2 linked regions of the Danio rerio genome follow. The protein of the gene in region 1 interacts with the protein of each later gene in a biochemical or structural test. Links are inferred from orthologs where the notes say so. Each region holds a gene or a part of one and is shown in the gene's direction. Other genes may lie near its edges. The genes, in order: dcaf11 and slbp.

Evidence for each region.
Region 2: the proteins of dcaf11 (region 1) and slbp form a complex in vitro, tested with the Homo sapiens proteins (2 studies listed by BioGRID, with this or other methods). The link is inferred for Danio rerio from reciprocal best matches to the Homo sapiens genes DCAF11 and SLBP.

Annotation. Positions count from the first base shown.
Region 1 is NC_133199.1:14,443,421-14,447,999, reverse strand, and holds the start of dcaf11 (DDB1- and CUL4-associated factor 11), read left to right. Parts: upstream 1-1,728; 5' UTR 1,729-1,939; intron 1,940-3,940; 5' UTR 3,941-3,951; coding exon 3,952-4,127; intron 4,128-4,258; coding exon 4,259-4,386; intron 4,387-4,579. UniProt on the Homo sapiens protein: May function as a substrate receptor for CUL4-DDB1 E3 ubiquitin-protein ligase complex.
Region 2 is NC_133189.1:17,118,996-17,123,434, forward strand, and holds the start of slbp (histone RNA hairpin-binding protein), read left to right. Parts: upstream 1-1,413; 5' UTR 1,414-1,501; coding exon 1,502-1,557; intron 1,558-2,447; coding exon 2,448-2,567; intron 2,568-2,772; coding exon 2,773-2,877; intron 2,878-3,017; coding exon 3,018-3,080; coding exon of another isoform or gene 3,081-3,084; intron 3,085-3,969; coding exon 3,970-4,119; intron 4,120-4,236; coding exon 4,237-4,386; intron 4,387-4,439. UniProt on the Homo sapiens protein: RNA-binding protein involved in the histone pre-mRNA processing.

The DNA of each region.
Region 1 (4,579 bases):
AACGATCAACTAACATATCTAAATAAATATATAGGTCTAAAAAATCATTTAATCTCATAATTTAATAATGTTTTAGTAATGTAATTTAATCTCATAATGTTTACAATGTTGTATGCACTGTCTGCTTCCATCGTCATTCTATCATCAATGGGGCAAACAATTATAAAATAACTGTGTAACTGCAGTAATTTTGGAATTTTCTGTGTGTTTTGATGTTTATCATTTAATGTTTTGTCATTAATTGATTATCTTTAAACTAATTCTTAATTATCATTTTCTTTTACATGGTGTATTTAAGACAGGATATTTCTGAAATGCATTGTAGCTACTTTATGTTCAATGGGTAAAATGGGGTATATATATTTTTTCTTTTTTATATGACAAAATCTTATTATTTTTACTCAACACTTTTTATACTGTCATTTCATCTGAATATAATTTGTCATAATATCAAAAATGTCATTTATTAATGTCTCTATGGTGATCCCTGACACTGTATTATCTTGATCAATTTTAAAATTATCTTTTTAATTTTGAAAATTAGGTCATTATTAAAGTTATATTGTGATGATTTTTTACATTTCAGATGTCTATAAATGATTAAATTATCCACTTCTACAATTTCCAATAAAATCTCTTTGTTTAACTGCAGAGTTCATTTTTTAAAATTAATGTTGTCAGAGCAGAGCACCAGGTCTCATAAAGCAATTTGAAAGTGTACATAAACAGAAAACATTGTTGCGACAACTATAAATTGTCAAATTTGTTTACAGTATTTTACAGGCTGGCAAATGAGCAAATAGGGCTATGAATGAATTGGCTTTAAGCGCAACTCCACCAAACCAATGAAATCAACTCAACTCAGTGCAACCAAAATGGATTAATTTCACTGATCTCTATACTATTGTATGAGTGATTTGGGGTTTGGGAATTGGGGCCTCAAGCATCAAACCACCTCATAGTCACAATACATGAAGAACAAAGAAAACACTGTTTTATACACTGGAAGCTATCTATAAATATGTATATAAATGTAGCACATTTATCGAGCTATATCTAGATTGTAATGTAGGTTCTCTGAACTAAAATATATAGTTTTTAGCTGTTTCATCTAAACATCTGTAATAAATATTATCTGTAAAAAATGCATCCACATTTGGTTATTTGCATCCACATTTGTTTATATATATATATATATATATATATATATATATATATATATATATATATATATATATATATATATATATATATTCTGATATATTATATACAGAATATATTATATATATTCTGACTGAAGAGAGCATGGTTATTACCTGAAAAATTCAGCATATCCAACAAAATAAGAGAGATACATTTTAAGATCTTGCATTATGTATATTCTACAAATTCCCATGATTTAAATTTGTCTATAGAAGATATATTTCTGTATTTCTCAGGTAATGATCATGCTCTCGATCTTATTGTAAATTTTTTTTGTGTTACACTGTAAATTTTTTATACTCAAAAATAAGTTCCTAAAAACAATAACTATATTTAATACTTAAATTTAGTAATTTAATATATAATTTCGTAAAATATTGAATCTCTTAAGTTTATTAATAATAAGAAGAATAATGAATTTCTTAAAGCTTATGATAATCTTTTTTCTTATTGATTAAGGCTTTATATAAAAAAATTCTCTCTCTTTGTGTTTGTTCTGTGGGAAAGCGTCGGTGTGTCACGTGAGCAGGCGAGTCTCGAGACCGTAAACAACATGGCGCGTCACGAACCAGGAGAGTCTTAAAAACAACTCAGGGAAGCAGCGGCGCTAAGCTTATTGAACGTACAGGTATATAAACTTAGTTTTTGCAAACACTATTTTCTGTTTTTTTAACGAGGTCTGCAGGAACAAACCAACGGGTAAAAGAGCTGTCAAAGCGCTGTTACCATTTAACTGGTGAGTGCCTCTCTTTTGTAGGTCGCTTACAGTGCTAGCGTGAGCGCTAACTTCTAAAGAATGAGCTGTTTTAAGTGCTGTTTTGATGTAATACGTAGACAATCTTATATCTTTCTTTTTTAAACTACTGGTCTGTAAATATAAAACCGTTATATGAAATGTTCGCAATATGTCATTTGCAGTTTTAGCCTGTCAATTTAGCATGCTCACCTGTCAAGTTACATCACAGTCTATTGTCAACAATTACTGTCCTGATTTTTAATCGCTTATTAAATGTCATAATTCAATGAAGTCAATTAAACAATATGATGTTAAAAACTGACTTAGGCCTACCTTTCAATTGATAAACTACATCAATGTTAGTTTGGTGGTATTCATTTTGCATTAATCAAACATATGTTTTTGAACAGACAAATACATATTTAAGCGGAAAATAACACTGTTTGCAATATATCATTTATTTTATGTGACCCTGGACCACAAAACCGTCAAAACAGTGTCGATTTTGCAATCGTCTGAAGTGTCAGTCATCAGAATCATAATATTTAAGTTTCCATTAATGTTTACTTTGTTAGGATCCTCAGGATCAACTATTTGAAAATCTGAGAGTTAAATTAGAAGAAGATCACATTCAAAGTCTAAATTAATTGCTCATCAATGTATATTACTAATCAAAAATTCAGTTTTTATTAATTTACAATAGAAATTTATGAAATATCTTAATGTAACTTCATTCTTATGTAATATCTAAATTATTTCTGGGATGAAACGAAAATGGCTATTAGCAAATATATATATATATATATATATATATATATATATATATATATATATATATATATATATATATATATATATATATATATAAGAAAGCTTCTCTAAAGTCCTGTTTTGTAAATGGTTGAACTTTTTTGGCACTCACTTAAGTGTACTGTGTACATATACACTACCATATCAAAGTTCACTTGGCAACATGTTTTTAATATTAATTTATTAATTAAAATAATTAAAAGTAAAATTACAGTATTTCAAATTAATTCCTGCTCTTTTGCAGTTTTAAAATGGCCTGACTAAAAACAATGTCACAGTTTCTCCGAATATATTAAGCAGCACAATTATTTTATCACCAAATGCTGCCCAGGACTGTTGCTGGAAGCTACTGGTCTATTGTAATTGTTGAAAGACACAGATGATTGGAACTCTTACTATTTAAGCACATAATATCATTTACAGTTATTTAAAAGACAGTGAGATGACGCAGTGGCGCGGTAGGTAGTGCTGTTGTCTCACAGCAAGAAGGTCACTGGGTCGCTGGTTCGATCCTCGGCTCAGCTGGCGTTTTTGTGTGGAGTTTGCATGTTCTCCCTGCGTTTGCGTGGATTTCCTCCGGGTGCTCCGGTTTCCCGCCACAGTCCAAAGACATGAGGTACAGGTGAATTGGGTAAGCTAAATTGTCCGTAGTGTATGAGTGTGTGTGTGTGTGAATGTGTGTGTGGAAGTTTCCCAGTGATGGGTTGCGGCTGGAAGGGCATCCGCTGCGTAAAAATCTGCTGGATAAGTTGGTGGTTCATTCCGCTGTGGCGACCCCGGATTAATAAAGGGACTAAGCCGACAAGAAAATGAATTAATGAAGCTGAGGTTCGAACCAGCGACCTGCTTGCTGTGAGGCGACAGCACTACCTTCTGCGCCACTGCCTCGCCTTGTTAAGAAATATATAAAACAATTTATTTTTTTATTATTGTATTATTAAATTTATTAAATTATTTAAAATATATATTAGTGATAGGGCAAATAAAAATCTTTTCCTGGGCAATAAAAAAAATCCTAAGCTTTTGGCTCTTTATGAATTTAAAATTTAACTCATAACGGTCTTAAAAATGTCTTAAAAATCTTACATTTAACTTGGTGAAACTTGAAGAAACTCTTTTATAGAATATCTTGCTTTTTCATCTTGAGTGTAATTGCCTGTATTGCTGTGGAATAAATCAATGATTTGGCAGACAATCAGTCTATGGGCTCTCAGTCCAGTTCTGGGATGTCCGGTCGGGGCTCTGGCAACAACCCAGACCAGTCAGAACCAGAAGCCAACCAGAACGCCAATCAGACGGGTCGTACACAGGCTGAGAGACAGTCAGGATCTGAAGAGGACGTTGACTTAGCACAAGTTCTGGCGTACTTACTGCGAAGGTAAATCTATAACCTTCTGAACCTATGAGATAGTGGAGATACTGTAAAACATCCTGGAACATATTGTAAACCTGCTTTGCATTTCCTCCACATGGGTAATGCAAATTGTTTTACCTTTTTGTCTACTCTAGGGGCCAGGTACGTCTGGTCCATGGAAGTGGAGCAACAGGCCTACAGCTTGTGCAGTCATATTCAGACTCTGATGAGGACAGTGATGGGGCTTGGGATGGGAGGTTAGGTCATCGATATGACCCTCCAGGTAAATAATGAACTGTGTGCATGATTAATTTATGCTTTTTTACTTAGTTGACACCCCAAGTTACAGTGCAGTGTTTAGAAATTATTATGCATTATTTATTTTATTTTACTTTATTTTATTAACATGGTATGATAAAACACAGGGTGTAGTAATATGCAAACATTATGCTTAGATGCGTTTTTGGTACAGCCAG
Region 2 (4,439 bases), on another chromosome or scaffold:
AAACCATGAATGGGAGATGATGGATGATAAATAAATAATTAAGATAAAGTTTTATTTACACAAGAGTCTTGAATTATATTGATAAATCCTGTTATCCTGATAAATTCCAAATAAAGGATGAGTAAACTGACAGAATAATTGGTTTTGTATGAGTTTAAAAGTTTTAAGGAATAATGCGTTGCTTATCTTAATGCACTCAAATAATGATCTAATATTCACATTTATTTGTATTGACATATAGGTTTATAGGGTCCATTTTAAAAAGCTGGTTCACTCAAATGTGAAAATGAGCTCCTTCTTCCTTGTGTGCGTGTGTTTGAGTCCTTTGAATTTCTCTCTTCTGAAGAATGCTGGTTGCTGGGATGCATTGACTTCAATTGTAGAAAAAATGGGAGTCAATGGGTCGCGGCAACCAGCATTTTCTCAAATGTTTTCTTTTATGTTTAACTGAAAAAACTCGAATCGAGTTTGAGCAATTAAATGGCGAGTCACGTTAAATGGGAAAAAAACGTTTCACTGATGTATTCAGTAGCCCCTGTTATTTTTGAATATGTTGCACTTACAGGTTGTATAACATTTATTAAGTTCCTAAAATTAGCACATACATCACACAACGTGACTGGTTGAACTGTCCCTTTAAGGTGATTCATTTTTCTTAAAATCCGAAGGGAATTAAGGTTTAAACAAACGGTAATGGTATTTTTCTTGTTTGAAAGAAAGAAAAATTACTGGTGTTTTTGCCACATTAAACCGAAACACATCGACGACGGGAAATTACCTCGGAAGTATTAAAAGGCTATGCATTAATATTTTTCTCTCTTGTTTTGTCGTGACCACGACTAAATTATTGTGAGCCCGAGCAGTTAGGCTATTTTCTCCCTGATCACAAGGCCGGTGCAGACTCACTGGTCAGACATTGGTCAGATAATAATAGTAATAATAATAATAATAATAATAATAATAATAAATATATAAAAGCAAACAAAAAAAACGTGATTACGACATGTTTGTCATAACGTTTTATGTCGAGATCACGAGATAATTAAGTCATCACGAAAAAACAAGAGAGAAAAAATATTTTAATCCATGGCCTCTTGGGGCTTCCTTACATGACTTACTTTTTCTCTTTATTTCTTAATACATGAAAAAATTATTTTTGTGGACCCAGGTCTTTCGTCTGTTTGTATTCCCGCCACGGCGTTCTAAAACGGAAAAAGAAGTTACGCGCTAAACTCGACATGTGATCTATAAACCATAGACCGACCTCAAAGAGCTTAGAATCACCTGATTCTAAGGTCTTTGCAGATTTTAACGAACGGGTACACATGATTTGTGGATCGGCGTATGTGGGTGGATCAAGTTGTGAGATACGTCACTAACACCGCCCCTTAAGTGTCATGTGACATCGATGTTGACGTACACTGCAGGACATTGGCGCGGTTTAATCCAAACCCGGCAGCTGATCGTACGTGCAGGTTCAATTTTACACCCTCTCGAAGCAATGTCTGAACAACAAAAATACAAATACGAAAACGATTACAAATCTAGTGAAGACAGGTAAGAATTTTAAACTATATTTAGTGGTGTGTGCAGTTGTTTTTGTCTTTTCGTGTTTTTTGGCTTTGTGGCTCCGATGTTTGCTAGCATAGCAAGACAACAAAGTATTGTGTTCCTGCTGTACTTCACTATTTTGTCTGTTTTTGGACTATAAAACATTCTTTTTACTTTCATTTGTAACTTCTTCTACTATTTTAGGTCATTAGTTCTTGCAAAATCTCGACTCTTTTATGCAGATAATGAATGAGGTGTGAAGATCTCCCGCCAGTCTTCTGTGTTGTGTTCAGAGTGTAAATGAGAGTTGGCGCCATACGAGCATTACCTCTGGATTCCCTAAATCAGCATTACTTATTTTAGTTTTACTAAAAGTTGTTGTTTTTATTATTTGCAGTGAGTTGTGTGTTGACTGCAGGTTATTTTGTGGCGCCATGGAAACAAAGGTTTCTTCGAGTAGTGATTTAGCTCATTGTGTACGTTAACTGTTAGTTATTAGGAAGTCGCGGTTTTCCGTCGCCATCTCCTTTAACGTTAAGTGTGTAACGAAGTAGATTTGTTTGTAATTATACATAAGCATATTTGGAATATTAACAAGTGATGATGACTTGTGTTGTAAATTGCATTTCTTACTGAAAATGTATTAACCCAAATTTTGATTCGTAATATGCTTTGCTAAGCTCTGTATAAACAACTTTAAATGTGCATTTTATCAGTTCTGTGATAAATTTTTTTTGTAACTCTGCGATTCTAGATTTTTAAATAGTTGTATCTCCACCAAATGTTTATTAATTATATCCATGTGTTTATTGCTTTAGCATTTCGTGTTCATGTTATGTGCAACATTCACTTTTTCACTTTTTTTTTTTCAAATGTATATATATTTTGTGTTAAAGGAACAAAGGAGCTTCAAGGTGGTCACAGTGTAGGAAACGTGGAGCAGATGGTATTCTGAGGAAGTCTCATGCTGATGAAGAGCCAGGCAAAGATCAAAGATGTTCGAAGAGATCAGAAAGGTAACATTTTGCATTGACTTTACAACATACCAATTTCTCAAGAGAGTCAACTGGAGTAGTTTTGTTAGGTTGTGGTTGACATTTTGATTTATTAGATGCATCAAATCTGACCTCTTTGATGAATTTCATTACATTTTAAACTGAGATACAAATGATAGTCGGTTTATTTTCTTATTACTGAACAATTGTGTCTTTTTTTGTGCAGTTTTACAACCCCAGAGAGTGAAGGACCAGTGTCCAGAATAAAAAACTGGGGCGATGAGGTGGAGGAACAGGAAATGCGCACAAATGTCCGGCGTGATTTTCATCGGTCAGTTGCCTCTCTTGAATTAAAAAAAAAATTCTTGCCAAAGTAAATTTTACATTAACAACAATTACAGTATTTTATGTTGCAAATATACAGGTGTACATGGCACTGATAAATCCTTCATTTTATTTATTATTTTTCAGTTACAGAAGGAGGATTCTTGCGAGTGATTTCCCTCAAAGAGACAGAAAAATCTCATCTGGAAGGTTTGTGTTTTAATCAGGGTCGCATTTAGACTTATTCCCCTAAAAGGTGCTCTTATTTGTCCACGTCAAACCATTTTTTTGTTTGTTTCTGCAAAATATTAGCTAACAAACTTTTCCCTTTAAATCTGAGACCCCAGCACTAACTGTGAAATCAATTTAAAAACGTTACAATATATTTCATTGAAAGGATTCTAATCCAAAAATAAATAACTTACTGAGTTTAAAGTTTTATCTTTGGAAGAAACATTTTTATTAGTTTTCAATGTGTGACTAGTGTTCATTTATTATAAATCAGTAGCGATGGCCCGATCAGGTTTTTTGAGTTACTTAATTTTAAGTATCTGGCGATTAACGAAAACCGATCCGATACTTCTATAATAAATAAAAATAAAAGAAGAGCAAAGAAACCGATCCAGGACTTTGCCTGCTTTTAACCATTTTTGCTTCAGAGATGCTATTGATGTCATGCTGCATGCGTTGCTGTTGCTGTGTGAAGTCGCACAGAAAACTGTTCTAGACATGATGCTTCAGGGATAGTTGGAAAGATGTTAATTTAATGTAGGGCTAGTTGAGAAAACAAAAACACTAAATGCTTTTAAGATATAATACATCAGACAAGGGACACAGGCTTAGAAAACATGATTAAATGAACACTACTACTGTCCCAGCATAATATACAAGTAATAACAATTGTAATAAATGTGGTGCTATCAAAACACTATTCTTATTGTTTGAGCATTTTGTTCACCTCAATTTGGACAACCCAATGTGTGAATTTGGGGTGGGTCTACCTGTTTAAGCGTATAATAGCAAATAAAAGTTCAATCTAGAAGTAAGTTTTACAGCAATTTTGACTTGAGTTGTAATCAAGCTTTTCTTGTTCTCCCAGTTCAGACTCCAGAGACTCTAGGGATTCGAAAGAGTCGCCTGCTAAAGGTGACATCGAGACCGATGAGACCACCCTCATCAGAAGACAGAAGCAGATAAATTACGGGAAAAATACTCTTGCGTACGACAGATACATTAAAGAAGTTCCAAAGTGAGTTAAACCATGCTTTTTTTTTTTTTTTAACGAATGTGTCATGCTACCCAGATCTTTTTTCTGCAATTATTTTTTGTACAGCATCAGAACCTTAAAATATAACTCCTCTTTCAGGCATTTGAGACAACCAGGTGTTCATCCAAAGACTCCAAACAAGTTCAAGAAGTACAGCAGACGCTCCTGGGACCAGCAGATTAAATTGTGGCGGGTCAAACTTCATGCATGGGACCCTCCTGCAGAAGAGGGAAGCGACTTTCAGCAAATGTAAGCTTTATTTCCAAAAACACAAAAAAGCTAATAAAATAGGCTTAAATGGG